2 linked regions of the Oryzias latipes genome follow. The protein of the gene in region 1 purifies or fractionates together with the protein of each later gene. This does not show direct contact. Links are inferred from orthologs where the notes say so. Each region holds a gene or a part of one and is shown on either strand. Other genes may lie near its edges. The genes, in order: lats1 and sav1.

What was found.
Region 2: the proteins of lats1 (region 1) and sav1 purify together in Homo sapiens (affinity purification with western blotting; 3 studies listed by BioGRID). This does not show direct contact. The link is inferred for Oryzias latipes from reciprocal best matches to the Homo sapiens genes LATS1 and SAV1.

The regions. Positions count from the first base shown.
Region 1 is NC_019882.2:17,717,344-17,728,502, reverse strand, and holds the end of lats1 (serine/threonine-protein kinase LATS1), read right to left. Parts: intron 11,086-11,159; coding exon 10,965-11,085; intron 10,387-10,964; coding exon 9,014-10,386; intron 8,721-9,013; coding exon 8,138-8,720; intron 7,641-8,137; coding exon 7,458-7,640; intron 5,873-7,457; coding exon 5,766-5,872; intron 5,691-5,765; coding exon 5,220-5,690; 3' UTR 4,291-5,219; downstream 1-4,290. Other genes in the region: rab10 (ras-related protein Rab-10), read left to right, coding at 1,856-1,942. UniProt on the Homo sapiens protein: Negative regulator of YAP1 in the Hippo signaling pathway that plays a pivotal role in organ size control and tumor suppression by restricting proliferation and promoting apoptosis.
Region 2 is NC_019880.2:1,308,705-1,319,666, reverse strand, and holds the end of sav1 (protein salvador homolog 1), read right to left. Parts: intron 9,077-10,962; coding exon 8,806-9,076; intron 7,554-8,805; coding exon 7,398-7,553; intron 7,261-7,397; coding exon 7,059-7,260; 3' UTR 5,868-7,058; coding exon of another isoform or gene 5,757-5,867; 3' UTR 5,143-5,756; downstream 1-5,142. Other genes in the region: atl1 (atlastin-1), read left to right, coding at 99-349, 420-554, 957-1,061, 1,700-1,750, 2,249-2,305, 2,395-2,487, 2,565-2,703, 3,502-3,629 and 5 more. UniProt on the Homo sapiens protein: Regulator of STK3/MST2 and STK4/MST1 in the Hippo signaling pathway which plays a pivotal role in organ size control and tumor suppression by restricting proliferation and promoting apoptosis.

The sequences.
Region 1 (11,159 bases):
TTTTCAATCACCGTCTGCTTGTTCAGCCGTTCAGGAACGGATGGACACTTTGTGGTTTAACAACACAGAACACTGAGAGTGCTGCCATTGATTTAGAGGAAACTAAAGGCTTAAGCTGCATTAAAGGCATCCAGACGTCTCCAAGCTGGAGCTGCAGGAGGAAACTGTAGAGTCCAAGCTCCGTCATTAATGAACAGAAAATGAGGAATTAGAAAAGGATGGAGCAGATCATTGAATTCAATTTTCAGGAGAAGCAGGTCAACAAAATAAATGCATCTCATTTAACTGTAGAAGGTTTGAAACCACTGCAGTGGATCCAGAAATGCTGACATGCATGTAGGATCCAAGCATGACAACAGCTGTTACATCCGTGTAAGTTGTCCAACAACTAAAAAAACAGCTCAGGTTTTCCCAAATCTTCTGTAAAAGTTTTTATTTTCCTTCTTTTAAGATTGTAGGAAAAGTAAAATATGCCAGTTACTAAATTAACCTGCAGAAATGACTAAAATGATTTATTTTACCTAAGAAACTATTTGTAAAGCCTGTAGACTAGGCCTGCACAATATACCGCAAATTTATCGTTATCGCAATATCCAGCTCTGCAATATGCATATCGCAAAAGACGGCGAATATCGCAATAAATCGCAAACCCAAAATGTGTTAAAACAATCTTCTAGCAGCTTGAAGCATTTAACAAATCAAATAAATCCCTTTATGCTTTGACCAATCAGATGGACGCCTTCCCATTGTTGACCAATCAGATGGAGGCCTATTATGTTAACCCTGGTCCTGAAGAGCCTCAACCCTGCCTGTTTTCCAGCTCTCCTTAACCAGCTTGCTGTTGATTGGCTGACTCAAGTGATTTCACATCCTGATTGACTGAACACACCTGATTTTGGTTATCATTATCGAGCAGTCTAGGGAGAATTGGAAAACAGACAGGGTTGAGGCTCTTGAGGACCAGGGTTAGCCACCCTGACGTTTTTCCCCCATGTCGATGAGGGTCATTTGGAGTATAATTTTTAAACTGTTGCAATGAAATGGGAATGATGTTTTTGTTCATTTTTCTATTTGTTTATTTACCGCAAATTTATCGTTATCGCAATATTGATCACTAATATCGCATATCGCAAGTTTTCCTCATATCGTGCAGCCCTACTGTAGACATAGATGTGCGTTCACATGTGTTCAGACGATCCCATGGATCTATATGGAGAGAGAAGACTGTCAAAATGAAACCTATGCTCGGAGACAAAGTTGAGCACATTTTGGAGGAAAAAGAAAAAAGAAAAGATGTGAGTGAATATGTGAAAAAGACTTTTCGTCGTTTGTATAGAAAAAGTCGTATTTGAAACAAAGACTAATCGTGTTTACAACAGAAATGTATTCCTTTTATTAAGTTTTGCTTTGTTCACAAGTTTGTCTATGCAAACACTTCATTTTGACAGAAATCTCACCCCAAAATAAAATGGATCAAAACTATATTTTTTTATTTGTAAAATGAATAATTATGGAATAAAAACTGTTTTTGTCTAAAATAATAATACAACAGTTCACCTTAAGGAAAAAAAAAATAATTTCATGGTTAAAACGGACATTTCTAAAGTGAAGATTAAACTTTTCTTCTGGGCTTTAAAGCTTTTAAAGTTGCATTTGACAAATTTCTTTTTTTTTAAATTCATTTTGGGTCGCAGCAATATAGAACCTGTTTGTTAGGGTTGAATTTTCAGGGTTAATTTAATAAAGATTTGTAAAATAATTGTAGTGTTGGTGGATCAGCTGAGTGTGTTCTATGTCTATGTCATGGTGGGGGAAAGCCGTCTGACGTCAGATTTCTGTCCGCTTTGTGCTCCAGACGCCCGTAAAAGAGCCCAACAGTGAAAACGTGGACATCAGCACCGGGGGCGGAGTCACAGGCTGGAAGAGCAAGTGCTGCAGCTGAACGCCACACGCAAACACACGTCTCCCTCTAACTGCTAACTGTCTCGCCCTCTAACCCGTCTCATGAGTTTTCTTGAACACTGACGCCCCCCCGTGTACCTGACCAGAATAAACCAATAAGCCACTTCACTCATCCTAACTCCTCCCCCTTTTCACTCTGCATCCAATCATTTTTATTTCTGATAAAAAGAGGAATCCAGTCACGTTTCTTGTCTTTTCTTTTAAAGGTTGTTGACGATAAAAGTGTGAAAGAGCTCATTTTAACTAAAAAGATCCCCCCCACCACCCACCCACGGCGTTCCCCCCTTCAGTCCCAGGAATCTGCGAATCAGCAAAGTAGGAAGAATATTTTGTACACTCAGTGAGGGGTTCTTCTTTATTGGATCATTTGTAACCAAGCAGCAGAGGCGTGGCCGGCTCCTTTTCTACGTGGGCGTTATTTTGTCCTGTGCCTTAAAAGGAAGACAGGGGCGGGGCTGTGCAGTGGGTGGAGCTACACCCACCAAATGAAATTACTATAATATTTCGTCACAAAGAAGCTGACTGAAGCTAAAGTGTTTGAATTTCTTCTCCAGCTAAGAGAACCGCGTTCTACAGTATGTCCTGTTTATCAATGTTTTCTTTTACTTTTTGTCTGTGTGGTTTCTTTCACTTTTCTTTTTTTTTTTTTTAACCCCCACCTACTTTGGTTAAAGTTTTGTGCATGCCGATATTTTCTCTTTTTAAAGGAGGAAGCGTTTCTGTATGGTGTCTAACTGGGTGGGAGGTGCACACGGTCTCTTTGGAAATTCAAACAATTTTGCAGATCCATTAAAAAAAGGCTTGTTTAAGTTAACTTGTTTGTCCTCTGTCCTTTTCACGCTTGAGTTAGACGGATCCAAACGTACAGCAGCATGATGGGAATGTTTACTTTAAACATAAAGTTTACAGAAATGCTGCTTAATGTGTCCCACTAAAGGTTTAAATAATTGAATTAGGAACTATACATTTCTCTAAAAATGAACTCATGTAAATTCCTGTTGAAGTTGTATTTCCAACCATTAGTTGTTATTTTCAGGCTTTGCTGCCATCTAGTGGTGGCAGTGCTCAAACTTTGTGTTGTAGAAAGGGATTCTGAATTTCCTCACTACTTACTCCACTATTTTAGGGCGTTTGCCATTTGGTCCGCATGTTCGAATCTACATTTCCAAAATCCAGTGTCTTGGAAAATTCCCAGAACTGTCAAAACCAGTATCGATGGTGAATATAGACCACAATGCATTGCACTTTGATGTGTCATTTGGAACAAAAGTACTTAGTTTTCCTCATCAGAACAGATGAACATAAAATGTTCATATTCTTTTTTTTAACTTCAGGAAATGGAGGATGTCATAAATAAAGTGAGTTTGTGTCCAGAGCACTGGATATTCCCGCATGTAGTTTTTTAGGGGTAAAGGAGTAGTGATGGAATTTAGGTAGACTGGAAATTTTTGTAATTTTAGGGCTTTTTAAGTCATATTTATGAAAGAGTATTTGGGCCACTGTAAAAGAAAACGTGCACAAATGAGAAAAATGTGACGGGAAAAGGTCAGCATTTTACAAGGATAAAAATCTAAAACAGTCCTTGTGCTATCTTAGATGACCCCACCCTTACATTGACGTGTTCTCCCTACCATGACAAAGGTGGATAAAGGTGGAAAGATTTCATGTAATCCATGGACACCAGTGAAGATCACAAATCATTGAAGAAAAATGGTTCAGAGCACTGTCTAGTGGGTCTAGATGACCCAACTCCCAATGTTAAAGTGCCTAGGATAGCACCAGGGTTAAAGGAAAATAAACAAGCTTAAATGTCATTTTTTACACGGAAAAGTCGTGCTTTTTCAAAATTCAAAAGTAACATTTAGCTTTTAAATTATTTGAACAAAGATGATTGAACTTGTTCCTCTTTCAGCATATCCCTTCAGGGATTGCCGCAGTGAATCCGCTTTTTACCCAGAATGCCCTTCCTGACAACCCTGCGTTTTATTCCGGTTGGGGACCGGCACAGGGCGACCCAGACTTGGGGCCCCTTGTGGCGTTGAAAACTTTATTCCTGTAAAAATGCCACTTTTCAAATGAATTTAGTTTTGTTCTCAAGTTGTCGACTTGAACTTTAATACATTTCAAATTTTACTACTTTTATGATTTCAATGACTTTTTCCTCATTTTACAACTTGATTCTCATTTTTCTTTAATGGTCTTATTTTTTTGTATTAAAAGTAAAAACACGAGTTTTTCTGGTATAAACACAAACACATTTTGCCGTAACTGAATAAATATAATTCAAATATTCCATCAAGTTTCCACCTGTAGATTAAGGGAAAAGAAAACCTTTCAAATCTGTTTATTTCTGACCCCTCATCCCAGAATCACATGTACAAAAAATAAACTTTAACAACGCAAACAAAAGCAGTGCGGGGCGAGGCGTCGCCGTGACAACTACATTCAGATGTTTCCTAAAGAGGACAGCAAGAACACCCCCCCACCCCCCCAACCACACACGAGGAAGAGTTTACCTTTCATCAGGTGCTAAAAAAGTGTGATTACCCATAATTCATAGTGTTTACTCCACCTGCAGGTTTATTGGGGCTCCAAACCCACATTTTTAGTGCTTTGGTTGATGAAAAAAGTTCAAAGTTCCTGTCAGAGACAGACACTGGCCCGTCTAGAAAGAAGAGGGCGGGGCTATGTACAACCTGTTTACAACTTCATTTATAAATACACTTTAAGTATAAATTAGAAAAATAAGACTAGTGTAGTACGATCAGCTACTGCTACTCATTTAAATGCCAGTCTGATTATTAACCTTCGTAATATTTGGTAAAACCACAGAATCAAAACAAAAGGCACAGCAAAGAATCATAGGAACCACTCCTCCCTGCTATGAAATCCCCATGGAAACGCATTTTAATATAAATTAGGACAACTTCTGAACATTCCTCAGATAAACGCAATTCTCATACACAAGCGGTATCTACAGCTTTAAATAAATTAAGTCGTTTGGGGGTTTAAGAGCACGCCGATTCACTTTTGAACCGTAGATTGTTCCTGAATGTGGGGGCGGGGTTTAAGGGTCCGGCGGAAGAGGCTGATATCAGACGGAGATTCTGAAACTAAGGAACTTCTAACATCTACTGACAGTCTGTCCTAGAAGGGTCAGTGTGGGACAAAAGCAGAACAGCCAGACGTGAGCTCAGACTCCAGTTTTTCCTCATGAAATAAAGTAGAAACAGGCTTTTGTCACGTGACGTGAACCGCTACACGTAGACCTGCTCCTGGCCCTGCGCGTCTGGGGGCACACCCTCGCAGTCCTCATCGTACTCGATGGGTTTGGGGCAGCTGTACGGGTGTCCGTAGCCGTCGAAGAAGCGTCGGAAGGTGAACTCGTAGAAGGCGTGCTCGGGATGCTTGCCGTTGCGGAACAGCGACGTCAGCGTGTCGTTGTGGTTGTTCTCGCTGTCCATGCTCCGCAGTTTGTCCGGGTCCACAGGGTCGAAGTTGGAGGTGTCCATGGAGTGGGCGATGGTGGGGATGTAGGGCGCCACCTGCTGCCTGAGGTCACTGGAGAAGTCGATGGTCCTGAAGAAAGAGTGGGCTTTGATTTCGTCAGCGCCGTTGGTGCCGAGGCGGTCTTTGGGGTCGCGACACAGTTTGACGATGAGATCAGACGCTTCGGGGCTGAGCTTGGCCTGAGGGGGGATGTGCAGCGTGGTCTTCCAGTTGATCACCTTCCAACACAGCGACAGAGGCGTTAGACAGAGGCACACAGGTTCAGGGCGCCTCACCGCAGCTGCTTCGTATACCTTTTTCTGGGTCTCCAATGGGGTGTTGGCGAAGAACGGCGGCTGTCCCACCACCATTTCGTACAAGATGACGCCCACGCTCCACCAGTCGCAGAGCTGCGTGTAACCTGCAGGGACACACCAACATTTGACATCCACACACGCTAAACAACTGCAGTTATGCAGAAAATCCAATCAGCTGCGGAAGAATTTGGCTGTGCATTCCTGCAATGGAAACGCTCGACGGCGTCTGAGTCTTCAACACAAACTCACTGAGATGACGTGTCCAACATGAACCACAAGAATCCTGAATCGTTAGGGAAACTCTTGAGATTTACCTGAACCACGTGAGGACCATTAAAGCTATAAAAAAAAAAAACACTAAATAACCCCTGAAAGCCTAAAGCTGCGTTCAAGCTGAACGCGGTTCTGCAGCCCGAGGTTCAAATATTCTTATTTTGACTAAGAATTTGCGTTACATCAACCAATCAGGAGCTCAGCTTTGGACGGTAACGTACCGATGAAGTAATGGAGGAGACCCGGATCGGCTTCCTCCTGAACTTTCATTTGCATAGAGACAATAATACTAAGGTATTGTGCAGGGGTCGAGCGGTCAACCTCTGATAGGAAGTTTACAGGTTCGATTCCTGCCTTGCCATGTGTCTAAGTGTCCTTGGGTAAGACACTGAACCCCACATTGCTCCTGGTGGTTCAGATTGGCGCCAGTGTTCAACAGCGGAGTGTGTGAATGGGAATGTGACTGTAAAACGCTTTTGCTCCATCCAAGCACACGCCGTTTACCATTTGTGGTCTGATAATTTTATTCTATTTACTCCCTCCTCTGACTAATGCGGGACAGGAAGTCTCCTGCAGCAGACGGTGAAGCTAACTGTACCGGGAGAGTCTCTGATGATGTCATGAACCCAGACATGGAGACGTGATTACCAACGCTTTAGTAGAACTCTTCTAAATAAACCTGGTCTCTCCCACACAAGGTCAAGGACACAAACAGTAAATGCTGCCATGAAGCAATCAGTCCAAGACCTTCACAGTAGCTCCGCCCACACGCATCAGGAGCCACAACTTTATGAACACATTTCCGGGACGAGCGTCCAGCAGAGGCAGTGGACAAAAATGGCATTTGGTGTGAACGCAGCATTAAGAGTTTGTTATTTTTAGACAAAAATGCTTTTATTTGGCTAAAAATCAAAGAAAAAGTGATGTTACAGGAAATATAAATATATAATAAATATATATATTTATATAAAGCTCTGATGTCACTCAAACTTGGAAGCAAAAAATCCTCCATTTGTAAAATAAGAGAAGATACCATTATGTAAAAAGGGGGGGGGGGGCAGCTTCAAAAACTTTCATTCTGAGCTTTTTTTGCATGAAATCTTTCGATTATAGATTAGAAAATTATTTGTATTTATCTGTAGTCATTAAATGTTAGTCTTTTAATTCCTAAAATGACTAAAAGTTTAAAGACAGACCCACTGAAAAATTGGAAAATTAAAATGATAAGATTAGAATTTTAATGATCTGATTAAACTCATTTTTAAATGTAAATGTTTTTTTAAGTAGATTTTAAAGAGGAAGTCACATTTATACAGCAGCTCCATACACTTCTAATATAAATGAGGTAGAAAAATCGACCAAAAAAAGAGAAAGTGGGATCAACAACCCCTCACCCGTATCGCCAGCCCCCCTCACCTGATCTGAGCAGCACTTCTGGGGCGATGTAGTTGGGCGTTCCCACCAGGGAGTGGGCCAGGCAGCGCTGGTGCTCCCGAGCCTTCCTCCTCTCCAGCGGCTTCAGGCGGTCTGAGCAGCGGCAGTTGGCAGACTCCTCCCACTCCTTGCTGAAGTCCATGCTGTCCTGCCTCACGTGGTCTCCTGGCATGGAGCAAAAACTGAGACCTCAGAGTCTGCACAGGAACGACTGACCCTCACACCTAAAACTTTATTTAAACCGGGTGGAGCAGAAACGTCACGGTCCTGAAGATCTTTTTCTATAAAGTGCCTCATAAACCTGCAGAACGCTGTGAATTCGGAGGAATACAGATATTTCTTCATTTATTGAACTGTTTTAGGGTGAATTGTCCTGAAGTTGAACTTTTGTTTTGTTTATTTAAAAGGAAAATTTGTTCAGTAAAGGGAAGAAGTTTTGGAAAATCAATCAACTTGAGTCAAAAGTGAGTTTTGAAATACTTAAGTGTTTTAAAGCAGCAGTTTGGGGCCATAATTTTGCAATTTTTTCGGTCATGGGTTTTTTTCCTCCAAGAAAAGTCTTCTATATTCAGAATTTGGTTGAATCAAACTTAAAAAAACAGTCATTATACAGAGAAGTAGTTCCTCGGGTTGAGGGAATTGAACGCACGGGCGGCACTCACCGCTCTGGTAGTACTTGGAGTCGTGCGTCCAGCGGAAACCGGTGCAGAGGCCGAAGTCTGTCAGCTTGATGTGTCCGTCTCGGTCGATAAGGATGTTGTCCGGCTTGATGTCTCTGTGGATGAAGCCCATCTTGTGGACGCTCTCCACGGCGCAGGTCAGCTCGGCGATGTAGAACTGCGCCAGGTCCTCCTTGAAGATGCCCAGCCGGATGAGGAGGCTCATCATGTCCCCCCCGGGGATGTACTCCATGACAAAGTACAGGTTGTCCTTGTCCTGGAAGGAGTAGTAGAGCCGCACCACCCACTCGTTGTCTGCCTCCGCCAGGATGTCCCTCTCAGCCTTCACATGCGCCACCTGGTTCCTCAGGAGAACGTCCTTCTTGCGGAGGGTCTTCATGGCGTACAGCGACCCCGTGTCTTCTTTTCTGGCCAGGCACACCTGACCGAAGGCCCCGATGCCCAGAGTCTTGATCTGCTTGAACATGGACTTCTCCATCTTGGCGCGCTTCAGGCGGATGTAGTTGGACTCCTTCTGGCAGAGCATCATCCGCATCTGCTCCTGAGCTTCTGAGGACAACCCCACCTGAGACGGAAACAAGCACAGTCAGCAAAAAACACGCCACCTGCAGCTTTTTCACAAACCGTGTTCAAGCGTTAAGTTAAACGTTGGGGTGGGGGCTGGGGGACATGCTAGCATGCTTGACTGATGCAGCTCAGAAGAAGAAGAAGATCAGACCTGAAGCAGCAGAAATGTTTACCTTTCAGATCAGGAAATAAAGACAAAGCAGCTAAGAAAAAAAGAGCAAGAGAAAGGTCAAAGGGCGTCCACAGATTGGGGGAATGGGGGTGTCGGACCCAGAGGGGGAGGTTCCTCACCCGCTGCATCTCGCTCTCCAGCTGCTTCCTCCTCCGGATCCTCTGCTGGTGGTTCTTCAGGATGTTTTCCACGTGTTGCTCCATGAAGAACTTGAAGGCCTGGGGGGAGTACAGTGCCACCCTCCCGGACTCCCCCCTGGGCTCGTCCTTCTTGTTGCGGCGGACGGGGACGGGCGAGGTGGTGATCTGCTTCCTCTCCTTCTCTGCTGCCGCAGTTTCAGGGTTTTCTGGCGCCTTCTCTCTGGAGTTCTCGCCACTTGCCTCCTCCTCTGCCGCCTCCTCTCTGCTCAGCTTGTTGGTGCCAACAACATACGCTGGCTGTAGGAGGTGCTTGGGGTAGGGCGGGGGAGGGCCCTGATAGCCAGGCGCCTCAACAGGAGCCTGGGAAACGGGGAGGGAGGGCTCCGAGTATGTAGGTCCCGGCAGCGCCCCCTGTTGGATCCAGGGAGGGTGCGTGGGGGCGACAGCTGTCTGAGGCTCGGGTTTATGGACTTTGGTGCTCCTGACGGGGTTCAGGATGGGGGCCGGCGTGATGGCGGTGACGGTGGTGGCAGAGGGCTGGGAGCTGGCGGGGTGAGCAGGCCTACCGTTCAGCTGGGGGGTGTTGAAAGAATTGGAGCGGACGGGCACGTTGTGCTGCCACGACGGGGACAGGTCCTGGTTGCTGTTGCAGTTGGCAGGCGGGGGCTGGCTCTGGGACCAGGACTGGGGGGCAATGCCGTACATCTCCAGGTTGTGGCTGTTCCGGTTACTGATCATCAGGGATGGAGGGATCCCGCCGCCGTTGATGTAGGAAGGAGACGAGGCGGGTCCCCCCACCTGGGGGTCAGTGGAGCTGCTCTGAGTAAGAGGGTAAGGGGGAGGGGGCTGTCTGCTCCCCCCTGACACATGCTCCGGTTGGGAGGAACCACTCTGAGTCCAGCTAGAGGGAAAGGTGAACTTGCTCCCCCCGGAGCTTTGCATTATGATGGGCTGGTGACTTCCAGCGGCGGGGCCGATCACTCGCTGGTTCGGGGCTGCGGGGGTTGGATACCCATCAGCCCAGGGGGCCTGAGGCACCGGGGATATGCGGGTGGGGAAGAAATCCATATTTCCAGGGAGGCGGTTAGTCTGCGGGTTGTTGTCCCAGGACGGCGCAGGTGGCATGGCCCGGTTGGGGGGAGGTGTGACGCTGCGCATCTGAGGAGGGAGGGGGGGGTTGACCCTCTGGTTGGCAGTCGGGTGAGCCTGCGAGAACGAAGGGGGGGGTCCGGGGCTGTCCGAGCGGTACATCATCCCGTCCACCATATTGGGGCCGTGGCGAGAGCCCAAAGACTCCATGGAGCCTTTCCAGCTCGGCCTCCGCAGCACCACCTGCGGCATGTGGAAGGCTTCTATACACACACACGCACACACACATCGTTAGACTAAGCACACATTCAATGCCGCACAACAGCTCCATCTTTGGCAAAAAGTGAAACTGCTTACATGCAGGATAATAATCTGATTTGAAATCAATCAATGCCTTGAAACCATAAATTTAGCCAGATTGGGATTATATCTGGGATTAAACACAAACCAGGAATATAGATTAACAAACCACAGCAAAAGATTACATGAATGGAATCTTCCCCTCAGTTATTTAATTTTATTTAGGGATTTTTTTTTTAAATTCAAGCTTTCCTAAATAACCTGAAGAATTTCATAAATGTTCGTTTTCACACAAAAAAAATTTCAGTTTTACCGAGCAGAACCTAATAAGGTGAAACAGTGAGAAAAGTGTCTGAATAACAAAAGCTCCTCGCCGTTAACCGAAGGCGTTCTATGTATCCTCAGAAACAACAGAATGTTTCCTCTCTGTCCAGAACCGCACATCTCTGAGACCGTTGGGTTACACACAAATGTTTAACCAGCCAAATAGACACAAACACTTGTCATCAAACGAAGCAACCGTCACCACAGGAGTGCGTACCCGGGGCTTTCAGGGCTGAAGAGTTTGAACTGGAAGCAGTCATCTGATCTCTCATTGGGTCCTGGTAACTCGGCTTTAACATGTAGTCTGAGGCAACCCCCCCACGGCGTCCACTGGATGGCTTCAGAAGAGAACAACTGATTAATAAGCTTGAAATGTATACAGGAAAGAAAAAAATTCAAATGTTGTGAATTT
Region 2 (10,962 bases), on another chromosome or scaffold:
TCAAGAACAAAGTTTGTCGTCTTTGGACAGGAAGTGATGACGAGCTGTTTCCTGTTTACCCCCCTCTTCTGAGACCCCCCCTCTGCTTTGTCCTCCAGGGTCCCTCAGTGATAAAAATGTCTACGACTGGAGCTCGGAGGAGGAGGAGCCAGACGGACGGGCCCGCCCCGTCCAGGTGCTGCTGGTCAAAGACGACCACACCTTCGAGCTGGACGAGGCGGCGCTGAGCCGCATCCTGCTGGCCGAGGAGGTGCAGGACCGGGAGGTGGTGGCCATCTCTGTGGCGGGGGCTTTCCGTAAGGGAAAGTCCTTCCTGATGGACTTCATGCTGCGCTTCATGTACAACCACGTGAGTCTGACAGAGCCTGCTTTGACCCCTGACCTCCTGCTCAGCACATCTGACAGCTTCTGTTGCACAGACAACGGAAAACTGGGTGGGAGATTCGGACGAGCCTCTGACCGGCTTCTCCTGGAGGGGGGGCTCTGAGAGGGAGACCACGGGGATCCAGATCTGGAGCGAGGTCTTTCTGGTGGACAAACCGGATGGACGGAAGGTAAGAATGACTTCTGTTGTCCCGCCTGGCTCGGTTTCCGTTCCGAAGAGAACCAAACTGCTGCTCCATCAGCTGCTCTTTGGGGGGCGCTGTTGTCCAAAAATGTCAAACTGGAACAGAAAACATCAGGGAGAAGAACCGTCGGCTCCTCTGAGGATCATCTCTGAAGGAGTTTCTTCAGCTCCCCACTGCTCCTCCTTTACCCAGCATGCATCTCCATACTTCTTTAAGGTTCCTGCTTCTTCAGACTCACACTGTGGCTGTTTGGTTCAAACACAAGGAGCTTACAGCACCTCCTCCCTTCGGTTCTCCTCCTCCTCTGCGTCACACTGAAGTGACCTGAACCAGAGTTCATCTGCAGGAGACAAAGGTCCTTCAAACGTCTTCCTCTGTGTCCCGCAGGTCGCTGTGCTGCTGATGGACACTCAGGGAACGTTTGACAGCCAGTCCACCCTGAGGGACTCCGCCACTGTGTTTGCTCTGAGCACCATGATAAGCTCCATGCAGGTACCTGACCACTGCAGGCACACCTAGACTGCAGGCACACCTGAAGTGCATGTAAAATAAATTCTCAGCAGGCATCAGAATACCAGATGAAATCCTTGAATGGTTTGGTTGCTGCTCAGTTTTGTCAAATATTCAACTACGGTGCTAATTATTACACCTCCACCACCGTGCTTGTCAGTTAGTCAGATGTTCCAGGTGACGTTCTCATGAACATCACCACCTTGACCTCAAAGCTCAGCTGGACTTTGGCTGATGATACCTTAATGTCGGACATTCTGATGCGGCTCCTCGATCTTCTGCAGTTCCTCAGTCTGAGGTGGGCGGAGCTTACTGAAGCTCCACATATGGCAAGAACAAACAGCAGAAATGACCTTAAATGTTTTTCTCATCAACTTCAATCGAGTGCTCTTGATTGGCATCGGCAGATGTTCTTCTCTGTAGATGATCATTCCAAACTCTCCTCCATTGCTGGACACGCCCTTTCAGTTTAGAGAGTCTCTGCCTCTCTAACACATCCTTCAATATGAAACCATGTCACAGACCACATAGAAATGAACTTTTTTTCCCGTCTCGTCTGGAGAACCGTTGCAGGAACCATTTTTCTGTCCGTTCTCTAATGTTTCTGCTTAATCTTTTAGGTTTACAACATCTCACAGAATGTGCAGGAGGACGACCTCCAACACCTGCAGGTAAAACTGTCCAGAGTTTCAGACGTTTGTCTGCTTACAGACAACTTCACGGGGAAGAAAAGACCCACCTGCAACACACACACAGACACACACACACACACACACCCACCTGCTCACACACACACCTGCACGCACACACCTGCACACACACACACACCTGCACACGCACACCTGCACACACACACCAGCACACACACCCCTCCACAGACAATAAAAATGTCAAAGTTGAGTTCCTTCCTTCTGAAACCAGCTTCTAGTGGTCAGTTCAGGAACTGCAGCATTTGGTACTTCCTGGTTTGCTTTATATTCAGGAACACAGAGTGGATTGTGTGTGTGTGTGTGTGTCTGTGGGGGGGCTTGGTCAGTCAGATGCAGACATATTCTGACCCCCCTTTTCAGTAACGTCACCATGGTAACAAACAACTAACAGTCATGAACACAGACATCCTGAAGCTTCAGATCAACTCCTGCACCTCAAGATTCTGCTTTTGGTTTCAGCTTTTTACAGAGTATGGGAGGTTAGCCATGGAGGAGACCTTCCTCAAACCCTTCCAGGTGAGCAGCAGGGGCTCCACCCATTTTTCATGCAGCGACCACAGAGATGTGTTGAAGGTTTAAGCCGCTGCTCCTCCTTCCTTCTTTAGTCCATGATTTTCCTGGTGCGAGACTGGAGCTTTCCGTACGAGTTCCCATACGGCCTGGAAGGAGGCACCAAGTTCCTGGAGAAGAGGCTGAAGGTCAGAGCTCGCCGACTCTCCTCCGGCCCAACGGCGGCGCCGATTTTTCTTTAACCGGAGCCGAATTTGTGCCGCAGATCTCGGAGAACCAGCACGAGGAGCTGCAGAACGTCCGGAAGCACATCCACTCCTGCTTCACCAACATCTCCTGCTTCCTGATGCCCCACCCCGGCCTGAAGGTGGCCACCAACCCCCACTTTGACGGGAGAATGAAAGGTAGGGACTTCTGCTGCTTTTAGGTTGGAATCTTCTGATTTAGTTCAAACTGAATACTTTAATAATGAGATGCTTTTGGACGCCGTCTGGTTTCTTTTTGCGCAGCGGAAAAATGTCAAACACTAAATCAAGGTGGAGTTTTTTTTTCTACAGAAAGAGGAACGACATTCTCATGGAATAACTTGATTGAAACCAAAGACTCCGCTCACTTTTCCGGGTCGTTAAGGAGCTGCAGGTCCACAAACGCTGAACTTTGCTTTAAAAGCTGTTAAACTCAAGGTGGTGGATTCTAACATTCTGACCAGAACCAAATAAAAACAACCAAAATCATCAAAACCTGTATCAAAAAAGGGTTGATGGAAGTGTGTATGATCAGAATTAAAACACAACGTTAATTGAAATACAAGCTAACGGAAACGAGATGACATAGGATACGACCATATTAGGGAATGTGGGCGTGGTTAACCAAAATACCTCTGTTGCCAAGGAAATCCAAACATTTTTTTCTGCTGATTTCTCTAAAAATGACGAAAACCCGCTCATCGCCCCCCGACACCCCAAACCTGGAATGGTTGCTATGGAGATAAAGCAACAGAAAAGCCGCCATTTTGAAAAGTGTTGTTTTTTTCTAATGAGTCGGTCGTGTGCAGCTGTGACCAGCTGATCAAAGCTTCTTCAGCCACAGCAGCAAAGACTCCTGCAGGTTCTCTCCGGTTCGTCAGAACTGGACTGAAAGCAGGTGAACAGAACCCGGTCTGGACGGCCTCACCTCTTCCCTTGTCCCGTCTTTCCGTCCAGAGATCGATGGCGAGTTCATCAACAACCTGAAGGTTCTGGTTCCGTGGCTCCTCAGTCCTGGAAACATCGACGTGAAGGAGATCAACGGCAGCAGGATCACCTGCAGAGGCCTGCTGGAGTACTTCAAGGTCAGAGCGGGCGCGGAGGAGACGCCGACTTCCGTCTGGACGCGTCTCACAGCTTTGTGTTTCAGGCGTACATCAAGATCTACCAGGGCGAGGAGCTGCCCCACCCCAAGTCCATGCTGCAGGTACGGCAGTGGGGGCCGTGAGGAGTTCAGGGGGAAGTTAAGGGGGTCGAACACACAGAATCAGAAAAAAGATTCAGGATTCTTCAAAATCTCTATTTTCTGGAAAATGTTTTAGATCTGTTTGAAAACCAGAAAATTAGATTTCCTATTACTGTATTCAAAGCATAAAGGAGGAAAAACTTGTGAAGAACTTCTGCTCTCTGTGGGTTCCCCTTAACTTCTCCCTCAACTATCAATCAAAAGCCAACTTCCTTGAGTGACCTTTGCATTTCTCATCAGGCCACGGCGGAGGCCAATAACTTGGCGGCGGTTGCTGCTGCGCAGGACCTGTACAACAAAAAGATGGAGCAGGTGGGTGGAGCCCGCTTCTCCGACACGCCGCGTTCCCGCTGGCTCACGCCTGTTCCCGGCTCCAGGTCTGCGGGGGCGACCGGCCCTTCATGGCGCCCAGCGAGCTGCAGGCGCGCCACGGCGGCGTCAGGGAGGAGGCGCTGCAGCTGTTCCGCGGCGTCAAGAAGATGGGAGGCGAGGACTTCAGCCGCAGGTACCTGCAGCAGCTGGAGGGCGAGATCGACGAGGTCTTCGTCCAGTACATCAAGCACAACGACTCCAAGAACATTTTCCACGCCGCCCGCACGCCCGCCACACTCTTCGTGGTCATCTTCGTCATGTACGTGGCGGCGGGGATCACGGGCTTCGTGGGCGTGGACATCATCGCCAGCTTGTGCAACATGATCCTGGGTCTGGCGCTCATCACGCTCTGCACCTGGGCGTACATCCGCTACTCCGGGGAGTACCGGGAGCTCGGCGCCGTCATCGACCAGGTGGCCGGCGCGCTGTGGGACCAGGTGAGGCTGGGTCACACCTGGGGGCAGGCCGGTCCACGTGGCTTCGCCCTTGAGTATAAATGACTTTCTGAGCCACTAGGTGGCAGCAGAGAGCTTCAGCAGATGTTTGGGTTCCGTTTGACCGAACTAACCGCTGCTTTCATCTCTTTTCCCGCCTCTGCAGGGAAGCACCAACGAGGTGAGTGACCCCCGTCCACGCCGCTGCATGTCTGCTCACGCCAGCTCCACGCCACGCATGGAGGTCGACGTTCTCCCGTGTCTGTTTTACACCCAGACATGTTCAAACCTGAACCCTGCTGGTTCCACTGCGGAGAAAAGTTTTTAAAAAGTTAAAAATGTTTTTGACTTCAGATCAGCCTTTTAACCGTCAAACCTTATTTGGGTGAAACTTTCTTCTGTAGACGTTTTAGTCACTAAAAGTCAAATCTGGGATCAAGTGGAGCTTTTTCTGCTTCATTTTGGTGAAACTTTCCAATCGTTTGTGTCTTTGCAGCTCTGATCTGCATTTAAGGCAAATTAGGAAACAAAACATGAAATGAAACGTTTATCATCGATAATTTAAATTTTATTCATTTGTAATGCAGAAACACACAAATATATTTGTGCATATTTGGAACAGAAAATGTTTAGGAGAGGTGATAAAAAATGTGGATTTAAATGGAGGTTATCAAACATGCTGAGTTTAGATCTTTGTTCTGAGGGAGGACGTTCAGCCCCACACCATCACACTGCCACCTCCATGCCTGACTCTGGAAGTGAGTCCAGATGTTCTTGTGTCTGATCAGAACATCAGTCCAGAGGTCCAGTGGATCCTCCAGATGTTCCTGTTCCTCAGCAGCGTCTCTCATGGATCCACGTTTGTCCTAAAGTCTCTTTCTGACTGTTGGGTCGTGACCTTTGACCTGAACTGAGTCCAAAGAGGTCTGTCGAGTCCTCCTCCTGTTCTTGGACCCTCTTTGGTTCCTGTGAAGGTTCTCCTCTGTCCAGTGTTCTCCGTGAGAGGATGATGGAGAAACTTTCTGCTCCGGATCTTCCAGCTGCTGAACTCGCCGGTTCATCAGAAGTTCTGATTCTGTTTCCGTGATCCATAAAAACTTTGTGCAGTCGGGTCCATTTGGGTTCGAATAACGATCCGGCCCCTCCCTCTGTGTTCACAGGCGCTCTACAAGCTCTACAACGTGGCGGCCAATCACAGACACCTGTACCACCACGCCTTCCCGGGACCTCGAGCGGACGAGGAAGCAGAGCAGGAGAAGAAGAGCGACTGACGAAGACCGCAGGGACTGAACTGGTGATGAAGAGGAGGACAGAGGCGGAGGAGCACCCTTGATCCAGACTCCGGCCGGCGCCGCTCCCCGGGAGCGTCTTGGCGTCCAGCTCGGCTGGAGGAGCTCCAGCCTCCTCCTCCTCGCCGCTTCTCTGAGAGCCGCTTGCGTCCGTTGATGTGTCGTGGTGCGCCGCTGCCGCATGCGCGTCCAGCTCCTCATGTTGTGTTAATGGTTGTGACAAAGTGCTGTTGTGCCGTATCGTCCTGCCGCTCCTGCACGGCTGCAGCTTTACGCCCGGACCGGCGGGGCGGAGGAATGCCGCCGCCGCCGCTCCGGATCCCTCGGATCATCGGTGAGCTGCAGGAAGACGGGCCGGACGCCGCAGAAACGTCCCACCGCCTCATCTTCTCCACTCATCACATGAACGCTCTCAGAGAAACCGCCATCGGACCAAAAACCCAGCAGAACCGCCGCGTCCGTCCACTCATTCATGCGCATCACTCGCCATCGTGACCACGGTTCTGATGAAAAGTCTCCGTCTTTAGATCTGAAGGAAAAAGACTTTTTTACAGGTTTGGACGTCTTTGGGTTTGTTTTTCGTTTTTTTAAACTTTGAGTTTTATTTTGAAACATCTAAATGTGACAAATATGTACAAACGCAGAAATGTTTGTTTTGCTGATGAAGTAAACGTTTATCCCTCCGTCACCGCAGACGTTACCGCTTCTGAAGGTTATTCATAGGAGCAGGCTGGACGCTCCCGCACAGGTACAGGGTTTCAGGCGTGTTCGAGTCCTGACTCCGACAGAGCAGCGGAGGTTTTCATTTGGACCAGTCCACAAAAATTCATTAAAAATCCAGAAAAAAAATGCTGAATTGCACATATTTGGTGAGATTCAAACGTTCTAGTAGCTTATGGTTCAGGAAAACGGGTTTTTCGAGCGAGCGCCAACGCAGAGCGGCGTCCATCAATGGCAGCCGAGCTTCGGAGGATTGTCGGGTGAGGCGTGCAGGAACGGCGAAACGTTGGGGTTTGGGTCGGAGCAGAACCCACACTTTAAAGCTGCAGCTCTCTGACTGTTGCCCAGCAAAGAGCTCCTCTGTTTGAGGCGTGTGGGGCCGCCCCTCTTCCCGTCCATGCTTTGGATCAAGCGAAGGCACAGATGGGTTTTCTAAAATGAACTCTGAGGTCGTCACATGTTGGCCACAAAGTTCTTGCTGTACCACTGCTGTCGCTGTGAGCGGGCGTCCGCCTCGGACAGCAGCGCCCGGCGGTACGCCTCGTAGGACTTGACGATGTGCTCCAGCTCCTTCATGAAGAGCAGCTTCAGCATTCCCTGATACGTGTCCAGGTCGGCCAGCTGGAACAGCTCCCACTTCAGGATGTGGTCGTACCTGAGGAGCAGACGGGTCTCAGAAAGGTCTTCAACAGCCTGCAGAGGGCGGGAATCGAACCTCTCTCCAGTTCAAACAGACAAACCAACAACTCTCTGGATGGAGGTTTCTCAGAAACCAGTTCTGGTCCGACTCACTTGAGCGGGGCGCGGGCGTACACCTGCAGCCAGTCTGGGATCTCGGCCGTGTGGTACGGGTTGGCCGGTACCAGGACCGGCTGGTTCCTCTCTGCCGGGCGGGGCTGGTAGGTGACAGGCGGGGGCAGGGGTGGCGGCTGGTCGTAGCGCGGCACGCTGGACCATGGATTCATGAGAACAGAACAAACCAGTTTCTATAAGAATATCAGTCTTACGGGTTCAAACTACAGACGCTACACAACGCTGAGCAACATGCTAACACGAACAACATGCTAACAACATGAACAATACGCTAGCATAGATAACAAGCTAACATAGACAAGAGGCTAACATAGACAACATGTTAACACAACACGCTAACATAGATAACATGCTAATATGAACAACATGCTAACATGAACGACACGCTAACATAGACAACACGCTAACATGAACAACACGCTAACATGGATAACAAGCTAACATAGACAACATGCTAACATGAACAACACGGTAACATAGATAACATGCTAATATGAACAACATGCTAACATGAACGACACGCTAACATAGACAACACGCTAACATGAAGGACACGCTAACATAGTAAACACGCTAACATGAACAACACGCTAACATAGATAACAAGCTAACATAGACAACATGCTAACACAAAAAATACGCTAACATGAACAAAACGCTAACGTAGCTAAAACCAGTCAGGTTTCACAATAAAATGGTAAAACAGCAGCATAATGAATACAAATAATACTAAATTATTAAGAGAAAAACACTTAAAATGGCTGAATGAGTAAGAGTTATAAAGATCTTCAAAGGATAAATATAATTAGTAACTAAATAACAAATGGGATAATAGTTTAAAAAAACTGTTATTAATGAAAAAGTTCAATCAGCTAAATACCAACATAAAGATGGATTTACAGAAATCTCAGATTTCTCAGAAAAGTTGAAGCTCAATATCGTCTGAAATTAGATGAAAAAAGATGTGCAGCACAGATAAATATGCCAAACACAAAAAGGCTGGAATCTCTTTTACGAAACCAACAAAAATGTTAAAAACATTTTTCGTTAAAAAGCTTTTTACTAAAAGTTGAATGAGCTGAAAAGGCTGAACTGCAGAATGACGGCGTTCGGATCGGAGCTGATTTTCAACCTGAAGGTTTTCTGAGCATCAAATGAGGCTTTTTAGGAGGAAAAAATGTCTGTTTACGCCTTAAAGCTACGCCATCATCCATGGTTATGGGGGGGTCTATATATTTATATATACATAATTCACTGTTGTTGTGAATTTAGGCTACACTAATAAAATGTAATTGTTTCACTTTTAATGTTTTGATATTAATGTAAACATTTATACTTGTGGTGTTTAAATGTTGAAATAAGCCCTGAAACCGGGGCGTTAGCAGACCTGGGGGCACACGGGTGTCGGTACTGCGCCCTCTTGTTGACGTGGTCCACATAGTAGACCCCGAACTCGGCGGACTCCACCTTCTCCCAGCCCGGGGGGAGCCCCTCCCTCTCCAGGGGGTGGCTCCAGTGGGTGGTGTTGGTGTTGTGGTCGATGAAGTACTTCCTGCCGCGGATGGTCCAGTCCACCGTCCAACCGGCTGGGAGGGGGAGGTCCTCCCCCGCCAGGCTGGACAGGTTCCCCAGAGACTTGGCCTGGATCTGGCTGATGCCTGAAGGAAACAGAGAAACATCGGGAAAACCGGGAGACTCCGGGGAAAACCGGAATGTTTTCTCTGTGTGGGAAAGAGGCGGCGGGTCTGCGGGACGAACGGAAGGAAGCGGGAGCGCCGAGGACAGGAAGCTCTCTGCTCCACCAGGGAGAGCTCCGTCAACACTTCCTGGAGCGCTCCCGGTGAAGGTCGGCGAGGAATGCGGGTCCGACAGCTGCAGGCGAGCGAGGGGAGGGGCTTCCCGCCTAAACGCCGGCTGGAGTTAGACACATTCTGCGGCAGAAGGAATGCGGTCTCCTCCTTCACCTCCTCATCGTCATTCCTGACCTTTTCCACAGAAAGATCCAGACGCCCCGCAGGAATTTGATACGAGAAGACGCCCGAAGGAGCAAATGTTTAAGAGTCACCGACATGGAAACGGGTTTCCCAAACGCAGACTAAAGTTCTACGACGAATGAAGACGTCCAGACGGGAAAAAAGATGAGAGTCTGAGTTTGATGTGGTGAAGGAACCACCAGGAACCGCTTTAACCACGGGTCAAACATCAGCATGTGCTCCGTGTGGTGACCTTTAACCTCCGGTGAGGGGGAGCAACACGAGGGGGAAGCAAACGGTCCAGAAAGCTTTGAATAAACACCAGGTTTTCCGCTTGAGACCTACTGCAGATCTATGACCTACAGATCTATGACGATTCAGCTGAGGATCATAGACCCGCAGAATCTAGATCAGTGGATCATAGACCCGCAGAATCTAGATCAGTGGATCATAGACCCGCAGAATCTAGATCAGTGGATCATAGACCCGCAGAATCTAGATCAGTGGATCATAGACCCACAGAATCTAGATCAGTGGATCATAGACCCACAGAATCTAGATCAGTGGATCATAGACCCACAGAATGTAGATCAGTGGATCATAGACCCACAGAATCTAGATCAGTGGATCATAGACCCACAGAATGTAGATCAGTGGATCATAGACCCACAGAATGTAGATCAGTGGATCATAGACCCACAGAATCTAGATCAGTGGATCATAGACCCACAGAATGTAGATCAGTGGATCATAGACCCACAGAATCTAGAACAGTGGATCATAGACCCGCAGAATCTAGATCAGTGGATCATAGACCCGCAGAATCTAGATCAGTGGAGCATAGACCCGCAGAATCTAGATCAGTGGATCATAGACCCACAGAATGTAGATCAGTGGATCATAGACCCACAGAATCTAGATCAGTGGATCATAGACCCACAGAATGTAGATCAGTGGATCATAGACACATAGAATCTAGATCAGTGGATCATAGAGCCACAGAATGTAGATCAGTGGATCATAGACCCGAATAATGTAGATCAGTGGATCATAGACCCACAGAATGTAGATCAGTGGATCAGCGGGTCTTCCAAAGAGAATAGATCTATAGATCAGACATCAATGGAACATAGATCAAGGGATTATAGATCTGTGGTACACACATTATAGAATCAGTGGATCGCAGATCTGTAAATTATAGATCAGCAGGTCTTCCTCGACAAAAAATCAAAGATCCGTTGATCTATTTTTTTTGTTATTTTTTATTTTGCTTACTGTTGTTCATTTTTGTTTCTCAGCGTTTTATGTGGCGCCGCAGTCTAGTCTGTAATGTCTGTCTGTTCACCGGCAATGACAATAAAAACCCCCTTCAATCATTGACCATAGATGTGTAATCATAGATCGGTGGATTATAGATCGGTAAATCATAGATCTGTAGAACATAGATTTGTGGATCATAGATCTGTAGAACATAGATATGTGGATCGTAGATCTGTGGATCATGGATTTGTGGATCATCCATCAGAGGATCTATGTCAGATCTATGATCGTTGACTCAAAGATGTTTTTAA